Linked DNA regions of Oryzias latipes. The protein of the gene in region 3 interacts with the protein of the main gene of each other region in a pairwise test. Links are inferred from orthologs where the notes say so. Each region holds a gene or a part of one and is shown on either strand. Other genes may lie near its edges.

The links. The genes of interacting proteins can lie anywhere in the genome.
Region 1: the proteins of tsen54 (region 3) and tsen2 interact in a two-hybrid assay, tested with the Homo sapiens proteins (2 studies listed by BioGRID and IntAct). The two-hybrid records come from large-scale screens. The link is inferred for Oryzias latipes from reciprocal best matches to the Homo sapiens genes TSEN54 and TSEN2.
Region 2: the proteins of tsen54 (region 3) and clp1 interact in binary tests that used the Homo sapiens proteins (3 or more experiments, as listed by UniProt). The link is inferred for Oryzias latipes from reciprocal best matches to the Homo sapiens genes TSEN54 and CLP1.

The regions. Positions count from the first base shown.
Region 1 is NC_019863.2:19,267,659-19,275,528, reverse strand, and holds tsen2 (tRNA-splicing endonuclease subunit Sen2), read right to left. Parts: upstream 4,791-7,870; 5' UTR 4,619-4,790; coding exon 4,448-4,618; intron 3,882-4,447; coding exon 3,815-3,881; intron 3,724-3,814; coding exon 3,684-3,723; intron 3,617-3,683; coding exon 3,389-3,616; intron 2,534-3,388; coding exon 2,404-2,533; intron 2,333-2,403; coding exon 2,258-2,332; intron 2,181-2,257; coding exon 2,130-2,180; intron 2,045-2,129; coding exon 1,900-2,044; intron 1,793-1,899; coding exon 1,756-1,792; intron 1,677-1,755; coding exon 1,565-1,676; intron 1,498-1,564; coding exon 1,408-1,497; intron 1,208-1,407; coding exon 1,148-1,207; 3' UTR 611-1,147; downstream 1-610. Other genes in the region: mkrn2os (MKRN2 opposite strand protein), read right to left, coding at 6,506-6,728, 6,798-6,966, 7,102-7,151.
Region 2 is NC_019868.2:14,102,032-14,109,650, reverse strand, and holds clp1 (polyribonucleotide 5'-hydroxyl-kinase Clp1), read left to right. Parts: upstream 1-2,829; 5' UTR 2,830-2,919; intron 2,920-2,927; exon of another isoform or gene 2,928-3,020; intron 3,021-3,219; 5' UTR 3,220-3,221; coding exon 3,222-3,494; intron 3,495-3,587; coding exon 3,588-3,695; intron 3,696-3,787; coding exon 3,788-3,907; intron 3,908-4,568; coding exon 4,569-4,706; intron 4,707-4,808; coding exon 4,809-5,495; 3' UTR 5,496-5,639; downstream 5,640-7,619. UniProt on the Homo sapiens protein: Polynucleotide kinase that can phosphorylate the 5'-hydroxyl groups of double-stranded RNA (dsRNA), single-stranded RNA (ssRNA), double-stranded DNA (dsDNA) and double-stranded DNA:RNA hybrids. dsRNA is phosphorylated more efficiently than dsDNA, and the RNA component of a DNA:RNA hybrid is phosphorylated more efficiently than the DNA component.
Region 3 is NC_019866.2:1,092,498-1,100,238, forward strand, and holds the end of tsen54 (tRNA-splicing endonuclease subunit Sen54), read left to right. Parts: intron 1-660; coding exon 661-724; intron 725-801; coding exon 802-885; intron 886-958; coding exon 959-1,057; intron 1,058-1,140; coding exon 1,141-1,193; intron 1,194-1,356; coding exon 1,357-1,464; intron 1,465-1,537; coding exon 1,538-1,937; intron 1,938-2,178; coding exon 2,179-2,314; intron 2,315-2,379; coding exon 2,380-2,440; intron 2,441-4,140; coding exon 4,141-4,254; intron 4,255-4,495; coding exon 4,496-4,646; 3' UTR 4,647-4,908; downstream 4,909-7,741. Other genes in the region: 5-hydroxytryptamine receptor 3A, read left to right, coding at 6,665-6,931, 7,179-7,223, 7,302-7,411.

The sequences.
Region 1 (7,870 bases), on a different chromosome or scaffold from region 3:
GACCCCTGAACGCGGCTAAAACGTAGAACAATGATTTTAAAGGTATACTGAACAATAATACACCAGCTGTATAAGATTTTGGCGAGCAAAATGCGAAAATGAGTAAAAAGTATTTTGGGAGTACTACACATAAAGCACTGTAAATGTAAGCATTTTATTACAACAAAATAAAGTGACGTTTTTATTTCGAGGCACAAAATGTGTTTAACATATCTCTCCAATTCCTTAATATTAGCCACTATTTAAAAGAAATATTTTCAACTATTATAAATCTTTTATCCTTCATTAACCATTGTGCTATCCTAGGCACTTTAACATTGGGAGTGGGGTCATATAGACCCACTAGACAGTGCGCTGAACCTTTTTTCTTCAATGATTTGTGATCTTCACTGGTGTCCATGGATTACATGAAATCTTTCCACCTTTATCCACCTTTGTCACGGTAGGGAGAACATGTCAATGTAAGGGTGGGGTCATAAGATAGCACAAGGGTTAACAAGGACAGTGGTGTGTCCATACCGTTTCTACTGGTTGAGCCAAAACGACAAATGTTTAATAAATATGAAAAACCTTTTTTCAATGCACAAATAAAAATAAAACATACGCTTTTGAAATAATATTTATATTTTACATTTCTTTTTTTGGTTGCAGGAATTCAGCAAAAATAAAAATCGTTTTTTTTTACAGTATTTACAAAGGTACACACTATTTAAGAGATGTGAAGCCATGTTAGATTGAAAACAGCATATTTGAGAAGGAAGACTGTTCAGAAGAGTTAGATTTTAAAGTCATGGTTGTTCTGCTTCATTTTAAACTTACACTACAATACAGAGAGGAGCATCCTTCAGTCTGTCCTTTTCTAAAGGAGAGTGGTCATATTTCTTTGTGTTCAAGCTGTCAGGCTTACTAACCTTTAAGTCCTCATTTGATGAAAGATGATTTCCGTTCTCTGTAGTTTGTCATAGTTGCTCTGATCATATTTGAAAGGAAATAAGATTTTTTCTACATTTCTCTCCTTGTTTTTCTTCCCACTCCTGTTTGAGGAAGAAGGCATATTCTATATACTCCACACACGAGAAAGTTCATGAGCTCAATATGATCCACGTCCCTGATTGGCTCCAAACTGTTCTTTGCGAATTCATTTGAATCAGTCGTCATCTTGCTCGGCTCGCTCCTTGGAGGAAACCCACCTGCTAATGATGACTTCCTGTAGAGACAAAATGTAGAAGATCATGCTCACTGATATGGTGTGCTGGGCTCCAGTTTTATTTCTGGAGCCCAAGGAGACAAACAGAAAGCTGTGAAATCTACAAACCAACTAGACCCAGATGGGGAGGGATGAGGAACAGCAGATAGCTAAAACTAGAAAACTGGCAGCAACGCTGAACAAACATCACAGCTCCACACCTGAACCTTCAGCTTGCTCAGGCAAACAGGTGAATCAAGCTCCTCCTTCAGTAGCTCACCAGGATACACGATGTAACACAGCATCAGCTCCTGTGAGATAAAAACCAATCAGAGGGACATGGCAGGCCAAGTGTACCTCCTCCCGATGAATCTGTACCTTGGAGACACTGGCGGTAATTCTGCTAAGGGCAGCAAAAGAACGCCATGAAAACGGACGCAGAGTTGAGCCCCTGAACTCATCATCAGTTTGTTCTACAACCACAGAGTAACTACAGGCAGAGGACAGGCATGATTAGACACTCATAAAACCGTGGCTGATCAGAGTAAAGTCACCTGTGTGAGCGTCACCTGGCGTGGTAGAAAGGGGGTCCCTTCCTGTAAAGCACTGCAAAAAAACACATTATAGTTATCAAGCTTCTCTTGTCCCCTCAGTGTGAGGAAAATTCTTTCACAAACACAGGTAAAAGGTCTCAGCTCTGTGTGTGATCTTACTGAAGTCCACACCATATTTGGCCCCGCTGCCTCCTTTGGGGACCCAGCCCCTGCTTCGGAAATGATGATATGCAGCGTAAGAGCTGGTGAAGTCCGGACGTAGAGACCTAAACCTTCGCCACAGCTGAATGACTGACTGTGGCTCCTGACCAACCACAATGCACAACAGGGTTTACTTCTTCATATATAGCAATGCAACAAATATAACAGCCAAAACAATCATAACTCACCTGGTCCAGGTACACAGATAAGCAGCCCAAGCTGTAGACAAGGAAGAAGGCCTGCAGAGTTCAGGGACATAAAGGTGAGAAGGCCACTTAAATGTCCCAACTGTGGATGCAGGTGCCAGGTGGGTTACCTCCTCCAGGCTGAGCTGCAGGTACTCAGTTAGAGACAATGGGCTCCGCTTCACTTCTCTAACCCCACCTTCATTCTGTAGAAACACAAACCTAATTAACAGCTCATCAAACACTTAACAACATGCAGATTCATATAGGGACTTGCCTGGTTCTCAGAGACTACCAGCACAAAACCAGGACCTGGAACCTGAAAGCCAAGATCTGGTTCAGAGTCTTGATCGGAGTCAAAACTGGGTTCAGAGTTCTGGTCAAAGTTTAGGTCCTGTATGTCCGACCTGAGTGTTGAAACAAAACACAGTTAAGTTAACCCCCATGTCTTGTTTCTGAGTTTAAAATATACCAAGAGGTATCAAAATGTTATAGTTCCTTAAATGAACTCTAGAGTTGGGTTTATAAAAGGGGCAGTTTCCAACTCCAGAGTTGTTGTTGTTTCTCTCTCGGCTTTTCCCATCAGGGGTCGCCACAGCGAACGAGTCGCATGGTAAACCTGGCAATGTTTTACGCCGGATGCCCTTCCTGACGCAACCCTCTCAAAGCAACCGGGCTTGGGACCGGCACAGAAGTTGAGAAGGGAAGGTTTCCCACTCCAGAGTAATGAGAGGAAAAGAAAATCCCACTTCACACCAAAATGGGAGTGTATGTACAGGCTGAATACAAAACCTTTTTGTTTTCTATTTCTTTATGAACTCTTCTCGACAGCTTGCTGTTTTGATTTTATTAGTGTTTCACCTTTCAACACTGGAGCTTTAGCTCCGGTGTTTGTTGATTCCCCTTTGAATTACAGTAACTCTTTGACCATTCAGAATGTCAGAATTCCAACAGATTCTGACACTGAAGCTGATTCTTTGCAACACTTTTCAGTAATGAAGTGCTGCATATCAGCACAAAGCTGCTTTTCTCAATAATTCCGTAAACGATTGAAGAGTTAGAATAAGTCAAAGAGCATGTTATTTCCTGTTGTCTGTGACACCTCTGGTTTTAAAGAACTTGTGCCATTTTTGACTGGGAAGAGCATACTCCAGTCAACTTGGCAGACCCATTTCACCTCTATTTTGGTGTTTTGAATTTGGGTGACATCAGAGATTATCTGTCCATTTAGTAAATGTCTATGGATGAAACAAGCACTTCACCTGCATGGTCTCTTGGCCTCAGGCTCCGCCTCAGATTCCCTTCCCAGACTTTTTGTGTTGTCACAAACTCCATCCTCAGTCTTTGCCCCCTCAGCCTCCCTCAGTTCACTCTTCACATCCTCTATCTCCAATTTCTGCGTTAGTTTGTGAAATATTTGATCCACAGCCTCTGCAGACATTCCCTGAGCACACAGACTTGCCTTTGCCCATCCAAGTAGTTCCTCATACCTGTAAAAGACTGAAATGTAAGGCAGGAAGTGATGTCATCAGCCAGACAGAACAAGATGCTGCTAACCTGGCCTGAGAGACAACGGGAAGGTACAAATCTTCGAAATCTGTAAGACAAACAAACCAGCTGACTGCACAGAGCTGTGTGGGTTAGACCAGATCAATGATGATCTCATGCAGGTGCAGGTGTAGACTCACCCTCCCATTTTTCTGAAATGCTGTGATCTGGTCTGGCTCTGGACAAGATGCCTTTTCCAAAATAACCCTGAAAAATCAAACCTAGTTAGATAAAACTGAAGTAAATCTCCTTAGTTTTTACTTGGTTCTTTCCATCACTGCTAGTCCTTGTAGTCAGAGGCATAGAGCAGCAATAGTGTCACCATAGGACCAAGGTGGGAAAGAAGACAATAATGAAAACACAAACTGACATGTTTCTTCCCGTTTTAAGAGCTTTCCATCCAGGAAACTAAAGGGTTTACATTCAGTTTGATTTGATCAGTTTTGATTTATTGATCATTATCATTTGGCATGATGATGAAGTCCTCTCGTTGATTATTTATTATGGTAAAAGAAAGACGGGATGCAATAGATTGTTTTCATCAGAGAAATACAAAATTTACGCCCAGCTTTAACAGTTATCTGAGTCCAGCACATTTAACTGTTGCTGCAGATGCACCTATAATGTATCAGTGCGACGGCATTAAACGAACAAAAATAGTATTCATGTAATTAAGGCATTCTAAACTAAATCCTATAATCTACACTGGATCTTTTCAGTAACATTTTGCAGGATTGCTTTGCTGTCAGTGAGTCGGAACTGGCAACCCTGACCTGGTTGTGTATCTTCCTGACATGGTCGGGGTGGCAGACAAGCACGTGCTGGTTGATGAGCTCAGCCCGGTACACGCACTTCTCCCCGGCACTACGGATGACCGGCAGCGGAGCCTCCAGTTCTTCGTAAACACGCGCGCGCCGCCGGGGAGCGCGGAAGTCGGCCTGCATTGCTGTGGACCCGTTACTAAACGGCTGACCTCTTTGTGGGATTCTGACCTGGAAATTTGTGTACTGTTTTCTGAACCAGAATAAATGTGGGTTTTGCCGTGCACGTGGGTCCTCTCTAATCAAACTGGTCCTTTCGAATTTTTTTCTCTGTAGTTACTCATACTTTTACAAAATTGCTCAAGAGAGCCACCTATTGGCATGGAGGTAAACTACAATCCACCTTTAAAGCGACATACAAACAGTCCATGATTCCCTAAAGTTTGCTTGTCTACAATAATGACTATGAATGAAATTGAAAGGAAACTATACAGGTTTCCTAGTTGGTTTTATTTAGTTTTTACCACAAACTAATTTAAAAACAACAATAAATGCTCCACTGAACATGGGATAAGTGTAATACATCACACCAAACTGAAACAAAAATATTCATTTCCAGAATTTGTCAAAAATGTAAAATTATTACTAGTTCCATCCTCTATGTTACACATTAATAAACCAGCAGAGGTCAGACAATTTTGCACATCCTTCAAGAAAATTTTACTGTGCCTTAATAAATGCCTCATGAAATCTTTTAAATCAGCCATGTGTTTGCTTGAACTTGTATTTTGTCATTTCTGCTCATGTTTGTGTATACATGTCTTTATCTCCTGTGTTGTTTTGTCAGACATAAAAATGAGCAGAAAAATCCTGCTCATTTTCAATAAACCGAAAGGTGAACAACAATACAAGATAAATGTTTAAATATTGTGCAAAATAAAATTAAAAAAACAAGAAAAAACAAAACAAAACAAAAGGCAAAATGATCTTTAGCAACAATAAAACCACTCTGAGGAATCCCTCCACACTTACTGTATCTGCACAGTTCTGATACATGTTTGTTTTGTTATTGCTTCATTGAACGAATAAATAAAACAGACATCCATCAACATTTAGTTTTAAACACCAATAAAAAAGAAACATGTTGGAGAAAAAAAAAAAATCCCAATTATGTTTACGACTTTATGTTTTATGTCGGGGTGTCGTCTCTGCAGATGGAGACAAACTGGGTGAAAATCTTCTGGTTTAAGAAGTGCGTTTTAAAAGAATAAAGTTTATGTACTGAATGGTTTATGAGCCAGTTTTGATTTGTTCTGATCCGTACTGCTGCTGGAAAGCAATATATCATTCAGAACTTGTGTCAGTGTGACCGCTAAGGGTGTATTCAGATTCAAATCCTTTGTTCTTGTTGGGAAAACAGTATAAGAAGCAATGTGTGTCACGTTGAAAAGTGTTTTAATGAGCCTGCATACATCCAACCAAATTTCAATGAGTGCTGTGTCTCATTGTTCTGGTTTCATGGCATAGTTTTAAAGTAAATTCTGTTAAGGAATTACAAGGTATTTTTTATGGTGACGTTACAGCACCGCCGGGTGCATGCCGCGTAACCACACAGAAAAGCATGTAAGACGCATTTTCAGCTGAGTTAAAACAAACGTAACAAGTAAACAGTTGGACTCTTTTTTTCCCTCTTTGATAACATGACAATCATTGCTTCACATTTCTTCGCAGCTCATCGGTTCCTTCATTCCTACTCTGTTTACGTCAGCTATGGGGGCTGTTTTGGTTCAGTTGTTCCGCTCAGAGGACGGATTGTATTCAGACTGAGGAATCCCAGAGCAAACCAAAGCTTGGTCCGATTGGAAATGAACCAAGACCCCCTCCAAAGATGGGTCAGAGAGCGGTGTCTGGTCCTGGACCAGGGTCCACCTGGGTGTATTCAGACTGAAAATTTGTTCCGGATTATCCAGGAATGAAATCTGGTTCACTTAAAACAAACCAAATGTGTCCAGTCTGAATTCACCCTTAGTCTAGTGGGTCTGTTTTCATTGGGTCAAAGGTCAGGCCACTTTAGCTACTGGGTTCTGCTGCCTGCGGTCGGTCCACCATGTAGAACTGGTGTTTCTCGATGTGTTGGACCAGTGTGGTATATTTTGACACCCTCTTCATCCTTGGCAAGATGAAGCAGCGAGTGAAATCCTCTTTGCTCAGGGAGCTGCAACCCTCCACTGTCAGGACGGTATTTAGAAACTGCAGGCAGAAGCTGAAGCAGTTGTGGTCGTCTTCATGGAATCTGGAAGACAAAGGTGGGTAGGGGCTTTGACTGGCATCACCTGTGTTGACTGTGTCACCTGTGAGTTACCTGTGCCACACAGGGTCCCACATGGGTCCCTCTGAGAAGCGCTCCAAGTACTGATCCCACTGAGCCAACAGGTGGAACATGTCTGGTCGGACCAAAGGGATGTTGATGCAGCGCTCCCAGCCTCTCTGTTCTTTCTGCACCCCATTCTGGGTGTAGTTGTACACCACTCCTGCACACAGGTACCCAAAGGTGAGCTGCAGGCATGAGGGACAGCTTCCAAAACAATTTAACTGTGCTCTTGTCTTCACAGCAGCCAGCAGAATTCCAGAGAAGAGAAGTTGGACTCCCCAAAAACAAGTTTTACCTTTTGTATTGGAGATCCCAGTGTGCAGATCTGAAGTCCCATTGAAGTCGCTATATAACACACAGTAGGATGAACTGGTTATATACATGTGTCAGATTGGTTCTGTTAGATGGGGCTGTATGTTTTTCCAGTCTTGTCCTCACCATTTCTGTGGTTTCCGCAGTGGGGATGTAGATCAGAAGGGCTGACACATCATAGCAGACCACGGTGTCATCTGTGTTACTTGATACCAACTTGATATAATGCACCTTGCTAACAAAGCTCTGGATGCTGGGGTGTAAGGTGTTGTCCAGCAATGAAGTTGAAAGGATTGTGAGGTGTTTGGTGATGTTGTAGGTGGGTTACAGTACACACATTTATTTTTGCCCATTTGATAGATGAAATCCAGTTAGTAAACCAAGTGCAAGAAGCTTTTGTTTCAAAACTTGCTGCCTTTTTTACACATACAAACATTTAAAGAAAGTAACCCCTAAACAGACTCAATGAAAACAGGTGTGTTGAAACAAATACTGAAAAGGATAATGGGGAAATGGGTTAGCCTACAACAGGGGAATGGAGAGGGTTCTTTTCTTATAAACAGTATGTTTGTGTGTATGACATGGTTTTCGAATCGGCTGCATGATTTGTGTCTTTTTTGTTGAAAAATATTGTATATAAACCCCCCCCCCACACAAAATATAGCATCTATTTAAAAGGAGATTTAAACTCCTTTTTCACAGTGAGAGTTAAGGAAACACAGCCACACGTACAAGTGGTTCTTCACAACTCC
Region 2 (7,619 bases), on a different chromosome or scaffold from region 3:
ACAGTTTTAATCTTCAATACGTTATATGTCCTCCATTATGACAGAAATGTACAAGAACATGTTAAAAATACTATGTTCATTGGAGAGGGCCTTAAAGAGCTGTTGTGTTCTAGATGCTGTGGCAATCCCTAACAGGATGAGCCAAAAGGTGAACAATAACATAATATGATGTTTAAAAAAATCTTTCTCATCTGTAGGAAATGTGATTGGTGGAAGCATAATGATGAAGAGTGATGAAGGAGATCTTCTCAGTCCCTCTTCTGACAAACTGAGCTCCAACCTATGACTTCTTCTGGGCACACACTGCCACCTAGTGGATCATCTCAGCTATTTCAAATCTTTGTTGAAAGTTTTTGTGCCTTTTTTATTGGTGTTGCTTATTAATAAAAGAAAATAATCTGTTGTTGTTTTTGTTTGTTTTTTGTCTAAGAGAGAAATTTAAAAAGAAAAAGCTTCATAAACTAGCAATAAAGCTGAAACTTTTCAGAAAATACATCAGAGGGAAAATCATTCCATTTATGTTTTATTTCATTTTTATTTACTATCATTAAAACGCTTTTACTTTGGTTAAAATTAACACACATTTGGCCCTGCCATTAAATACTTTCCAAAAAAGTGATTTTTTTTTTTTACTTTTTGACTGGTGATTACAGGACAAAATATTACAGATAAATGCAGCAGGTTTTCTTCAGAAATTCAGTTCCTAATTTCAATGATGCATGATATCTTATTCTCATATATGGTGTAAAATGGGCCATTCATCATTGCTAATAAAATCATCAGATTTCTTTAAAAAAATGTATATGTAAAGTTATGTTTAAGTGTAAAAAGGAATTTACCCTATTTTTTCCACAGGTCCATCTGTTAAACTGTTCTTCCCTCTGGCCTGTCATAATGGTTATTAGTCTTTTTATGGGAGTGATACCTGATATATTTCAATTTTACTCCAATAAGTCCAAATTGTAAGATATGGCAGTAGTTAATTTTTTACATCCAGCCATGACAAGTATAAATTAAAGTATGGGTATGCTAATTTTGAACACGGATGAATATATTTCCTTAAAAAGGGTCTGATTCTGCCCAGACACAGTTAAGACCAGGGGCCTCATTTATAAAACTTTGCGTAGGATTTGCGTCAGAAGTGGCGTACGGATGAAACATAGGACGTGCGTACGCACAGAAATATTCGGAGTTATAAAACCGTGCGCACGCACATCCTACGCATCTTTCCCTTAATAAATCACAACCGATTCTAAATGCTGCGCAGCTTTTGCGGCTACATGACACGCCCATAGTTGCCCATAAATAGTCCGTGAAACGCCCACAAATGAATATTCATTGATTGCGAAACCATGCCAAACACGGAGAGAAAATCAAAAAAACGTAACTTCACTCAATGTGAAGTAGAAGTTATCGTTGGCGAGGTGGAAAAGAGGAGAATAATGTTGTTTGGAGGGCACAGTGTGGGCATTACTAATGCCAAAAAGGCACGTGAGTGGCAAACGGCGGCAGACGCCGAAAATGCTGCAGCCTCACAACCTCGGACCGTGCCCGAAATAAAAAAGAAAAGGTCGGACATCAAAGTCGAGGCAAAAAAACGTCTAGCGCTGAACCCCCCCCCCCCCACACACACACACACACCCGTGTCTGCCACGAGTGTGTGTGTGTGTGTGGGGGGGGGGGGGGACACCGGAGCTGACCCCTCCTGATGAGAGACTGGCGGCAATAATTGGGGAATCCCTTTTAAGTGGAGTGGTGACTGAGGCGGAGGGGGACACCCACGCGCCAGATGCACCGGGTGACACACCCCCAAAAGCCCGCAGAGGAAGTCGGAACCGGCTCATAAGCCACTCGTCCTCGTTTGCCAGCAAGTCTCCTTGCTGTCTAAAGATGCGTTCACTCCGAATTCTTCCATTTGCCACATCTTCTAAGAGAGCAAGATCAGCCATTGTGCGTCATTACGCATTGTGATGGGGCATTTTATTTCCCTCCATTTAATTACATCTGACAAGCTACAGATGTCGGGAATAATCGACGTGGAAATGGGAAATTGTTCAGCGCAAATGTAATTTCTTGTTGCTTTCTGAATGGTCGAGACAAACGCCATACATTGTTTCATGAAAAATAAAACAAAATAAAGGCATATGCATGAATACCATAATTCTGTAGCTTATGAAGAAATATTTTACTATGAAAACAACTTTCCCCAGTGGAGAATTAATGCATCTCTCTCTATCTATCCATCTGTCTGTCTGATTGCTCCTATATCTGCTCCGCCAGACGGACACATTGACGGGAATATCAGTTGTGTACATTATTTCGTTCTGTTAACTATATTATTTATATTATTTATGAGGATGAATTGCACAACATGCCAATATTGCAGAACATATTTCACTTTTCTTTTTGCAAATATGTGCTCATTTGAATTTCTGTTGTAATTTTTGTTTGATTTTTTTGTTTGTTTCACTGCTGATCGATCAAACGGGTGTTCGTGTAGGCTGTTAATTGTAAGACTTGCTTTGTGAAGTCTTCATGTTATTTATCAGAGGCAGTATTGTCATTTTCACTTTCACGTGTTTCTTCCATCTGCCGACGGCGTCGCCGTTTCTCATTTCATCCGTTTTTGTGCGTACGCCTGGGTCAGAGCTTGCGTGAAGGACCGCACATTTTCCCGTCAAGTTTGCTTTTTATAAATCTCAACTATTGCGTAGAGAGTGGCGTACGCCTTCTTTTGTGCGTACGCAACGTTTATAAATGAGGCCCCTGGAATCAAAACAGAATCAGTTTATAGAAAAATCACGAAATATAAATCACAACCACGAGGGGGCAGCAATGCAGCGAGCGAGAACGCTGTTCTTTCTTACTATTGGTTGCTAGAGTCTTGACGTCATCATCCTGCGACGAACATCTCACTGGGTACACAATTTTTTGGTTCTGTGCTTAAGCTTTGTATATATCAGTATAAGGACGCGAATTATACAGTTTTGTATTCATTAAGCAAATTTGAAGACATTTAGGTGATCTCTGTTATTATTTATATTTGTTCGACATAAAACCCCACATTTCTTCCTTTCCTGCTAATCATCAGTTAGCTTGCCTTGTCGTGTGTTGTTTGACCATTTATTAATTAATGTTGCATTTACCTTTAACTTAACGATATTGTTGTTTTACATGTTGCACCCTGTTATGATTATATAACACCGTTTCTTTCTACAGCGATGGCAACAGAGTCTGTAGAAAAAACTAGCGACGATGCTCCGGCTAACGGCAAAGATTGCACCCGATTCGACTTGGAGAAGGAGACCGAGCTTCGGTTTGAGGTGGAAGCAGGAGAGGCCGCGGAGCAAGTGGAGCTGGAACTCCTGTCGGGACTGGCTGAAGTGTTCGGTTCAGAACTGAACCGCAACAAGAAGTACGTGTTTGGACCAGGATCCAAAATAGCTGTTTTCACCTGGCAAGGATGCAGTGTGAATCTTCATGGAAAGCCAGAGGTGAGTTTAGGATGAAATAAATAATCAGTCTTTTCTGTCCAGTTCTCCATATTAACTTCGAAACATCACCTATTATTTTTTTTTTAACCTCAGGTGGCCTATGTGTCTAAAGATACTCCCATGCTGCTCTACCTGAACACCCACGCTGCCCTGGAACAGATGAGAAAACAAGCAGAACGGGAAAATGAGAGGGGACCAAGGGTGAGGAGCAGCCAGATGGCTAAAATCCCCCCCTATAAATGTAACTTCTCTGTATATTTTGTATTACAAATACATATTTGCTGGCTTTCCAGGTGATGGTGGTGGGTCCCACAGATGTAGGGAAGTCAACAGTGTGTCGAATGCTTCTCAACTACGCTGTCAGGGTTGGCAGGAGACCAACCCTTGTGGAACTGGATGTTGGACAAAGTGGTGTAAGTACATTTAAAGTTGCACAACTTTAAATGTTTTAACCTCGCTACTATAGTCCAGGGAATGGTGTTAGATAGTATAAGACAAGTTGTGCAGACCTAATCTTTATAGTTTTTAAAGTTTTCCCAATGTAAATGGTTTAAATTAAGAAACAAAGCTTGTTATCACTTGTTAGTTCTGAAAATTAATCGTCTTGTCCTCTGTTATCCATAATGCTAAGTAGTATTTGGTTTCATTTATTCATATAAAAAAACTGCATATTTTCAGTGATAAATCAAAAATGTGTGTTTGAGATATTTGTACATCAATGACTAATTTCAATGTTTTCTAGGCATCATCTTTGAATGTCAAGGAGTTACCAAAACACTAGTCACAATCTTGTTGCTCATTGGTCTTTTTTTTCTTTCTTTCTTTTTTTTTTAGCTATTGTACTTCTAAGATGGTTGAACTGTTACTTGTTGTAACATGTGTTTCTGTATAATGACTTGCTGCAAGTACATTTGTTAGTTTTTTTTTTGTTTCCTGTTACAAAAAGTACATTATTTTATTTGTAGGATGCAGATTATTTGTCTTTGTAAACCTGCAATGTAAATGTTGAACAGTTCAGATTTCATTGTGTAATGAATTTACAGTAAGGTGTGACTAAACTTTGTTCTCTCTTAGGTGTCAGTACCAGGGACGGTGTCAGCGCTGTGCATTGAACGGCCGGCGGATGTGGAGGAGGGCTTCTCTGTCCAGGCTCCTCTGGTCTACCACTTTGGCTCCACCACTCCAGGCACCAACATTAAACTTTATAACAAGGTTAGAAGATTGTAGATATACAGTCATTTTATGTTTGTCATTGGCTGTCATCATTTATGCTGTTATTTTCTACTGCTTTTGTGTTTTTATCACTGTGGTTAGCTGACATCCTGCCTCGCTGAGATGTTTTCCCAGCGCTGTGAGGTAAACAGGAAGGCCAGCGTAGGAGGCTGCATCATCAACACCTGCGGCTGGGTGAAGGGTTCAGGATACCAGGCTTTGGTCCACTGTGCCTCCACCTTTCAGGTGGATGTGGTGCTGGTTTTGGACCACGAAAGGCTCTACAATGAGCTTAAACGCGACCTGCCCCACTTTGTGCGAGTTGTACTTCTGCCCAAGTCTGGGGGGGTGGTGGAGCGCTCCAAAGAGTGCCGGCGGGACACCAGGGATGAAAAGATCCGCGAGTATTTCTATGGATTCCGTGGAGTGTCCTACTACCCCTTTTCCTATGAGGTGCGCTTCTCTGACGTCCGCATTTACAAAATTGGTGCACCGTCTATCCCAGACTCGTGCTTACCTCTAGGGATGTCTCAGGACGATACGCAGCTAAAGCTGGTGCCTGTCACACCAGGGAGAGACCTGACGTACCATGTTCTGAGCGTGAGCAGCGTTGACGACGGAGACGAAGGTGCAAGAAAGAGCATTGTGGAGATTCCTGTGTGTGGTTTTATTGTGGTAACTTTTGTTGACACTCAGACACAGGTGATGAAAGTGTTATCCCCAGCACCCAGACCTCTCCCCAGACACACTCTGCTTATCATGGACATACGCTTTATGGACATGAAGTAATGCAGAACATACTTGAAGTGAGGAGAGATGGGTGCATTTGTTTAAAAGTTTTTGGTGTTTTGTAAAAAACCTCTGTAACAAAGTACCTCAGCAATTTGTTGTAAATGATGACATATTTTTAAACTTTTATGTACAAATGCAAAATCTGTCATGTCATTTTTTTCAGTTCCTTAAATAAAAAAAGTATTCTTTGTTATGGAAAGAAAAAAAGTATCTTTTGTATTTATTTTCGTTTAAAAGAACAAAGATTTAGCATTCATTGTTTAGTGTGTGGTTAATCTGAGTCATTTTTCTATGTTTATCCAGAAATTGTCAAGATTTTCTTAGAAACTGTCATTCCTTTTTTTTTCTTCGTTTACCTTGCGTCAGGTGCAAAATATTAGAAAACGAATCCTTGCAAAACTTCTCCTTTTATGATTAGTTTTCAAAATGTAGACTTAATAGTGCACTAATGTTAAAAAATTCAATTGTAAAAACTACGTAATGTAAGTTTAAAAAATTCTGAATTTTCCAATGGGAGCAACCAGCAACCACCCTTAAATCAAAAATAATGGACATTTTACATTTTAAAGTACTATAACAGACATTTTAGTACCTTTCTGACAGTTTAAAACAAGTAAAAGTGTTTAAATTAGAAGTTTGTCATACTTTTCAGTGAAAAAGTGAATGTCTAAAGTTTTGAAGTATGAATTAAAATAGGTTATGGAATATATTCCTAAATCATCTGTTTGGTGAAAAGGTGGCCTAAATTTCTTAGTGAAATGTCTGCTGGGAAACTTCAGTCCAATAAGTCAATTTTCTCAAGTTTTGTTACGCGAGACTTAATTCCACCACAACTTTTCTCTTCAAACTTGGATATAGTGCAAAAACTCTTACATTTTGCACAAAAACCAAACTTTATATTTACATAACTTCTATGATACTAAAATTAACAATGTAAATCCATTACTTGACGATAAAGAAGAATGGTAGACATATAATCATTTCATAGTTAAAAACACAGTTGTACCTCAAAAAAAGTTAGAGCTGGTTTTACATGAAGTCCACATTGTTGACATTAATTGATATGAAGTGTACAAACCGGTTTATTAGTACTCAGAGAACTGCAAATACTGTAACCAATGTAAACAGAGCCCTTAAGAAAAAGTTAATGGAATACAATCTTTTTATAACCTTATAGGTAGTCAAAGAATTAAAAATTAGATATTATCCAGTAAAGATTATTTTTGTCGATTTTTCCCTGTTTGTTAAAGTAAAAAAAAAAGCTCTTTCTGTCAGTGACATGGAGAACGGCTATAACATCTTTTTGTGGATTATTCTTTTGTCTTTATAATTTGGAAGGATCTACAACATACCTTAGAGCAGGGGTGTCAAACTCATTTTCACTGAGGGCCACTTCAGCATAGTGGTTGTCCTCAAAGGGCCAGATATGACTTATACGTGAAACTAAATGTAATGAAAAATAAATGTAACTACTCCTTAATGTAAAAAAAATCATGACTTATTTATTAGAACTTTTTAAAGTGTCAATTACAGTTCCAAAGAAAACATGTTTGCTTGTTACTCTAGCATTAAATCCTTTTACATTTTGTCCACTTATTGAAACCCACATAACTCCATTAATGATGGATCAAAGTTAATAAAGAAAAATAACATAAACTGAGCTAGAAAGAACATGTATTACACGTGTAACATTTTACAAAGAAAGGCTGCACACAGCCTTGCATCCAACTGATGGTTTGATGACAATTTTACAACAGGAGCTACACATAAATAATATGTAATCAACTAAAGAAACATTTTATTTTAAGAAATTAAAAACTTTTTTTTCTCCCGCGGGCCACATGAAATGACATGGTGGGCCACATTTGGCCCCCGGGCCTTGAGTTTGACTATAAGATATTATTTATCTTTAATGCTTCAAGTTTGCTTTCCAATGACACATATATAATAAACCTAATCATAAACCATACATTTTTCAAATATATTTACATAAATGAAAATAGTCAGCAAAATAAAAATTAATAACACATAATTTTAAAGAAGCTGACTTAAAAATATATGTATGATTTATTTAGAAAATTTTCAAATAAGGAAAAGAAAAGAAAAAGAAAGACAGAAAAA
Region 3 (7,741 bases):
CAAAAAAACGGATTCCAGAAAAAACGAAGAAACCTCAGGGGTGCCCACATGAAGGAGGGATCCTCCCCCAGGACGGACAGGCGATTTACCAGAACTCATAGAGAAGAATTAACTTATCTAAATCTACAACTACATACTTTTAATAATAATGCAGAATATTCAGCCATCCGCTCTCTAATGTTACCGGGATGCTGATAATAAAGCTGCGTCCAGCTTGTTGATTGTTATTTTTAGAAAGCATCAGTTTTAGTGAACTTTATTTTCTTTTTGCCGTCACTCCTTAAGGGTCAGAGGTTGAAGTTGGCGTCTGAATCTTTAGCTTTAACCTTTAACCCCCAACTTTGTCAGTTATGGGTTCTTACATGTAGAAATAAAGTTGCAGCTGCGGGTGTTTTACAGAGAATGGAGATAAACTTTAACCACCAAAGTTCTACTGGAAGCTAAAAACAAAAATAAATAAAACCAAACTGGAGATCAGGCCTGTTCTGCCTCAGCGGCACCGATGGTCAGAGCTCCAGCGCCTCCCCAGCAGAAAATCTGTGGCGAAGATTCGCCTCCAATGTCGGTTTTCCACATTTATCCTTGAAACTGGGAGAGTTTTAGCATCAGGAACTGTGGTGCTGGCTTTGGTTCAGCGTCCCTCCTCTTGTCTGTCTGCAGAGGAAACCTGGTGAAAGGCGTGTGGTTGCCGTGCCGGCGGCTGGTGGAGCTGCAGTCTCCTGCCGTGAGTGCTCTCGCTCCGAAGCCCTTGTGCGGCCTTCCTCCCGCGCTCTGCCAGCCGCTCCTGTCTCGTCTTTGCAGGGAAAGTTCTGGCAGACGGCGGGCTTCTCCGCGGACGGAAAGCAGTACCTCCTCCCAGAAGAGGCTCTGTACCTGATGGAGTGTGTGAGTGGAAGCCGCCGGCTCAGGTGCACAGGTGAGGGAACGGGCGCCTGAACCGCTCTCTGTGTGTGAGCAGGGGAGCGTGCAGATCTTCCACGAGGACCTGCCCATCTCCATCCAGGACGGGTACGAGGCGTTCCTGTCTGCAGACACGGTGACCCTGCAGCAGTTTCAGGTGCTCCTCGGTGACCCGCTCCACCCTGCTCCACCCACCGGTGGTCTGCAGGTCCATCTAAGCGCTGTCCCGTCTGCCCACAGGTCTTTGGACACCTGAAGAGGCTCGGCTACGTGGTGCACAGGTTTGATCCCGGGTAAGAACACCTGAGCTGCGGCTGGACGTTCAGGAGGAGCTGCAGGTGGAAGTGAGGCTCCGCCTGCGGATTCTTCCGGTCTGCTGGGGTCGGCGGTGAAAGTCTCTTTTCTCGCCTCCTCGTTTCTGGACGCTCGTTTCCATTTTCGTTCATGTGCTCGCAGCTCCGAGCCGACGCCGTACGCTCGACAGCTGAACCTCCCCCTGTCCCGGGCCAGAGCAGGACGGGCGCCGAAGAGGAGGCGGAGCTCCAGCCCGCCGCAGACCTGCAGGTGAACCTCTGCCTGAAGGGGGGGAAAGTCTCTGATCAGCAGGGGGTTCACGCCATTTCTCTGCCGTCTGCAGCGGCGCCCTCGCACAGCAGGAGAAGATGGAGGCGGGGCAGTGCAGCTCCGGGCGCCAGCCCACGCCTGCGGAGGAGAAAGACCCCAGGAGCCCTGCAGGTGGAGGCGAAGACGGGGGCCAGGCTTGGTGGCTGTCTGAGGAGCGCACAGGTCAAAGACGGACTCACAGCTCCGCCCCCTCACGCTGGGACTTCAGCGGCCTCGCTTTCCCGGACCTGGGTTCTGGGGAGGGGCTGGTGGCCCCTCCAGACCCCGCCCTGCTGCCTGGGGGCCTGAGCGTGGGCGTCTGTGACGTAGCCTCCTGGAGGCAGAAGGTCAACCTGCGGAGGGTTAAGGTGTCGGAGAAGGAGCAGAGGAGGGAGGAGGTCCAAGGCAGGCGGATGCAGCAGTGGAGCAGAGAGGTTAGTCTCCGCCCCTTTCTGCTGAAAGCATGGCGTTCTCATCACCTGGACCTTCTGCTTTGGTCCGAGTCCCACAACGCCCTTTCTTTGACCTCTGAACCTTTATGCTTCCTGTTAGACGCTTGAGAGCGTCACGCTATTCTCTGCAGAGAACGCCAACTTCACGGCGCCGCAGACTCCTGACCGACACGCGCAGAGGACCACGCCCACCTGCTCACGCCGCTGTACGACTTTCTTTCAGGTTCAGCGGTGCAGAAACTGGGCGGAGTATCAGGAGCTCCTGGAGAGGCGAGGGGCGGGGCATCCGGGCCAACCAGCTCACCTGTGGAGCGGCGAGGTCACGCCCTTACATGACCCAACGCATCCCATCACCACAGGTGAGTCTGGTCTGCTGTGGGAGGTCATGTGACATGTTTCCAAGTTGACCGGCGTCTCACTGCAGCGGAGCTGCTGGAGAAACTCCGAGTCCTCCAACCGTCTCACCTGCTGGAGGGCGCGTCCAGGTATGTTTCTGTCACCGACTCTAATCACAAACACCTGATTATTCATTCTAAGAAATTGATAAGTTATTCAGCAGATAAAAGATGTTCACTGACTCCGCCCCTCACCGTGTCGCTGTGGCGCCCTGCTCCAAAAATGTCACGGTTTTCAGTTTTCAGCTTTATTAACCCCTTAAACCTTTATTTAAGATTGTTATTACAATAACGAGCTGGAAAGTAGAGAAATACAAAGGTAGATTAAAGCACATCAAGAATTTACATCAAGAAAACTATTCAGTCAAAAGGAATCCTGGAAAACTGACATTTTAGTTCCAACATCCAGGATTCAGTCTGTGCATCATTCCAGTCGTTTGCTGCTTATTGACGGAAAGAGAATTCTCCATAATGTGATTTCACTTAATGATAAAGAAAATGCTGTTTGACGTTTCATTTTCAAAAAGTTCTTTAGTAATTAGAAATATCTCATTTCAAAATCATTTTCTTAATCCTTTTAATTAAGTGACAGAAATGAGCGGTTTTGAAGAAGAAAAAGAAAAAGCGTTTTGGTACAGACTTATATTTTTAATTATGCTACAAAAATGCTTCCATAGTCTAGTGTGATGTCAGCAGTAATAATAAAAAAACATCCATTTATCCTTCTATTGTGGTGCATCTCAGCCAGAAATGTAAAGTGTAATGAACTAAAAATAAAAAGGAGCTCATCAAATGACCTTTACTGTATTTTTCCAACCATGAGGCACAATTGAAATCTTATAATGCTGGGAGTATAAATTCATATTTTGCTAACTGGCCTCAAATATATTGAGCACAAAAATCTTTCAGTGTTTTGGTACGACTTTGATGAACACAGGATTGGTGGATGGAGATTTATGGCTGCGTTTCTGGATGCATACCGTCCTTTAACTGGTGGTTTATGAGCTTGGGTTAGTTTACTTCACTACTTGCTTACTTTTTAGCTAAACAGCTACTTTTTAAAATCAAAAAACATTTGATTTTTCTTTAACCAGAGAGCCTCAATGGAGGGCTCAAAGAGCTGCAGGTCGCAGACCCCTGGTTTAGGAGCTGATCTATAAATGATGTCATCACAGTCGAGCATCAGTAGGATGGTCATTTAAAACAAGGTCTTCTAGCAAACAAAGTGATGGATGTGCACATGCGATGAAGAAAGACACGGTTAGGCTTTTGATTCTTCTGTGGTGTGAGAATGAAGGACAGGTTTCCAGTCAGATGCCCAGATATTTGTATTCAGGAACCTGTTCAAGAAAAGTTTGAGGTGGTGATGTTTAGAAATGTCCAAGACTGACAACAGCTTTTTCTTTCCAACCACATGACTTTAGTTTGAGTTCAATACGAGCCTCAAAGAGCACAAAGATTCCTGGACTGAGTTAAAACTCTCTTGAAACGGTGCTGCTACTGCCTCTGGGCCTGATGTATAAAGAATTGTGTCGTCTGCGTAAAGACGGATGGATGACCCTCGTGTTGCTGCAGATAATTGATTTATGACAGCAGGGTAGACCCTGGAACAGACCCCTGTGGCACTCCACAGGTAACATTAAAAGGTCTGATTTTAGATGCTGTGATCTGTCTGAAAGATAGTTAATAAACCAGCCAGGGAGTCACTGTAAACACCAATGTCTGCCAGTTTATTGACGGGGGTGGACGTTGTTGTGCAGAAACAGATTTCCCTCCTGCCGTCCGCTCAGGTTAAACGGTTCTGACCAGTGGAGGATCAGCTTCAACGTCTACCAGCCGGACTCGGCGGCCGATTTCAAGAAGAGCAACCCGGGGAGGCCGTATGCGCGCATGTGCGTGTGCAGGTGAGCGCTGTTGACTCAGGGTCGCCTTGCTCCAGAACAGCTTTGACCTTTTAAGAGGAATCCACGCCCCCTTGCTTACTGCCAAACGGCTCATCTCTGATTGATGAGTCTTTCATTTCAGAGAAAGGTTGACAGGATTTGAGTTTAAAACCTAAAATTCTCAGCCGCGGTCGCTGCAAACCGCCTTAAACGTGGTCAAACCGGTGATGCTCAGAAGTGACGGTCTCCCGCTGCTCCTCAGCTTCCAGGGGCCGGTGCCAGACCTGCGGACCATCAAGCAGCTGGCCTTCCAGAGCGGAGACGTCCCCGTCGTCTTTGCCGTCGTGGACTATGGGGACATTTCCTTTTACACCTTCAAGGACTTCCAGCTGCCCCAGGACGTCCACCCCTGACTCGCCTCCGTCCGGGAGGTTCCAGGAGCCGCCGCTGCTCCTCGTCGCTCTGTAGACGTTCAGACCGCTGGTTTGAAGGTTTGAGCTGTGGAAAGACGGCCTGTTGGCTCCGGAAGCCTTCTGGGACGTCACATCCATCATATTCTATGACATCCTTTCAGAAAACTAAACTGCTGAAATGAAATGTTTGCATTTAAACAATAAAGAGTGAATTCATGATGTCACCAGTGCAGCCAATAAAGCAGCTCTGCTTTCAGCAGAAGACTTTTGTTGTTTTTGACCTGAAACTGAACCTTTTTTATCTCAACACGTAAAACAGGCTCCGCCTTCAACATGTCTACCAGGAGATGGCGCTATACGGGCTAATTCAACAAGCTGGAGCCAATTTAAGATGGATTTACAGGCGAATACCCCAAATGGCAGACTTTAGGGTCCTGATATTTATAGAGTTTAAAGTTGTAATATTTTTCAAAGCGTTCCAAATGCTCTTTGAATTCTGATGACGCCGTTTTTAGCCAAAATCTAAAAACCTTTGTCGTAAATAGGACATAGTTTCTGCAGAGCGGCAGGACTTCATCAGACATTTGCTTGTGGCCCCGCCCACTGCAGCTTCTACGTCACTGTCAGGCTTTTTCAAACTGCATTTCTCATCTGCTCCTGATCCACAACAACCTGAACTAGAAGGAGCTGCTTTTCCAGAAGAAAATTCGGGGTTGATGGTATATTTCTGAATGAAAATGAAACTTTAAGGGTAATAATTGGCTAGAAATGAAGTGAAATCAGCACAATAACAAAAATGATATGTTTGTGAAAAATGCCAGAGCCGGGTATCGAACAAGCGAGCTTCTGCACCGAGGATTCCCCATGTTTTTCAATGGAGGCAAAAATCCTGGAAATCCTGTAAAAGTTAAAGTATTTGAAGAACCAGAAGTCACAGCTGGAAAAAGCTGAAAGAAATGAACATTTGAATAGATGAACGGTTGAAATAGCTGTAAAATTGTAGGAGTTAAACACCAAAGAATGGTGGAAGATACTAGAATAAAGAAAGAGAAACAGGAAAACAATGATTGATTGAAGGATTTATAGCATTAAACCAAATAAAGAAATACTCTGAAATGCAATTTTAAGCTTAATGTTCTTTTAAAATGTCCTCCATGATCAGACAAATGCTGCAAGAAGATGTTAAAAACACAGTTTTCATCGATTGTGTCCTTCAGAAATGTGTCTGGAGTTTTTTAGGAGCCCGTTTCAAGACCAGGAACATGCTTTTGGAACATCTCAGCTGCTTGTTTTAGGCGTGTCTCTGGAACAGGTTTTAGTTTTTTCATTCATCTTCTCCCGTTTTATTCCCCTTTCGGGGTCACAGGGCTGCTGGAGCCTATCCCCGCCACTTGTAGGCAAAGCCAGGGGGCGTCCTGGACAGGACGCCAGTCTGTTGCAGGGTAGAGTGACCACAACCACACACTCACACACTGTCACATTCACACCTTGGGACATTTTAGATTGACCCATGAACCTAAACCCACATGCACTAAACCCTACGTGTTTTAGTGCATGTGGGTTTAGGTTCGTGTGTTTTTTAGGTCCGTGTTTCTGGAGCACTTGTGTTGCTGGTTTCAGGTCTGGCTTTTAGGTGCATTGTAGGTGTGTGTACCTGTGTGCGTCCTTCGGCAGCATGTTTCAGGTCCACCTGTGTTTACAAAGGCCTGTGACACAAACTAAGGGCTGAACAAAGTGCTCTGCAATAAGAGCTTAATCTCTGCGTTTGTGTTTCAGAACCTCATGCAGGACTTTTGCTGACTCCAGGTGATGTGAGCTCTCCCCGCACAGAGATGTTGACTTTTCGCTGCAGCTGCAGCTCCAACAATAGAAATGGTTGGGTCATCGGCCTCGGAACACAAAGAACCTTCTTTGGTTCACATAATCAAACACATCCATCTTGCGCCTTTGTGTGGTGAACGTCTGCAAACATCTGGATGCTTTAAAAGGCTTTTCAGCTGAAGCTGAAGCACTCGGCCATGGCAGCCCTCCGGACGCGCGGCGGCCCGGTTACGGCCCTGAACGCCTCCTTAAATTGGATTCTTTTGCTCTGTTTTTGGATGTCACACTGGTTTCCTGCTGGTGTTTCAGGCAGTCAGCCCTCAGACTGCTCTTATTATGGTCTGCTGAAGTATCTGAACCTGACAACACCCAGTCAGGTTCTGCAGATCATCAGACCCGTGCAAAGCTGGAACCACACGACAGCCGTCTCCTTGGACATGGTGATGTACGGCATCCTGGATGTGGTGAGTGGCTCCATGAAAGGCTCCTTCTGCTCAGTCCACAGCTTTTACGACGTGTTAGCCAACAGGTCAGTCTGGACCAAGTCGAGAAGTGGTGAAGATTGGCTCCCACTCAATCCCATTTCTCCTCAAACTTAAAGAAAGATCTGTTCCATAAAATGAAAACCCTGTTAGCAGGTGAAGAGGACATTTCCCATGTTCTACAGCAGGAGGGATGTGTGTGAGCTCCATGAATTGTGTTTGTCTGCAGGATGAGAAGTGTCAGACGGTCACCAGCCACATCTGGATAGAAACAGTAAGACTTCCCAACAGAGGATCTACAGACTCTGTGCTTTACTGATGATCTCATCTTTGTCCTCTTTCCTTTGATCAGCACTGGAAAAACGAATTTCTGACCTGGAATCCTTCCGACTTTTGTGGGATGGACAAGCTGACGATCCCAAAGTCCTTAGTCTGGAACCCAGATGTGGGCATTGACGAGGAGTAAGCAACCTTCTGGTCCTCCAAACCACCCAAGTGTTGATGTTTCCATCAAATCCATCATGGATGATGTGTAGAAGAACGCAGGCAGCTGTGGAGTCAGAGATGATTTGGTTTGTAATCTAGAAATGAGTTTTTTTTATCCAACGTTCAACCAGAAGTAGATCTTCACTGTGATGGTCTAACGTCTGAGAGGAGCGCGACTTTCTGATGGGAGGTTTGATTGTTTTGAGGGTCGTCCACCCAGCTTACTTTAGAGTCAGCGCTGAACCCATCGGTGAGAGTTACTGTCCCTTTAGCACCCCCTAGTGATGATATGGGGCCCCCAATCCA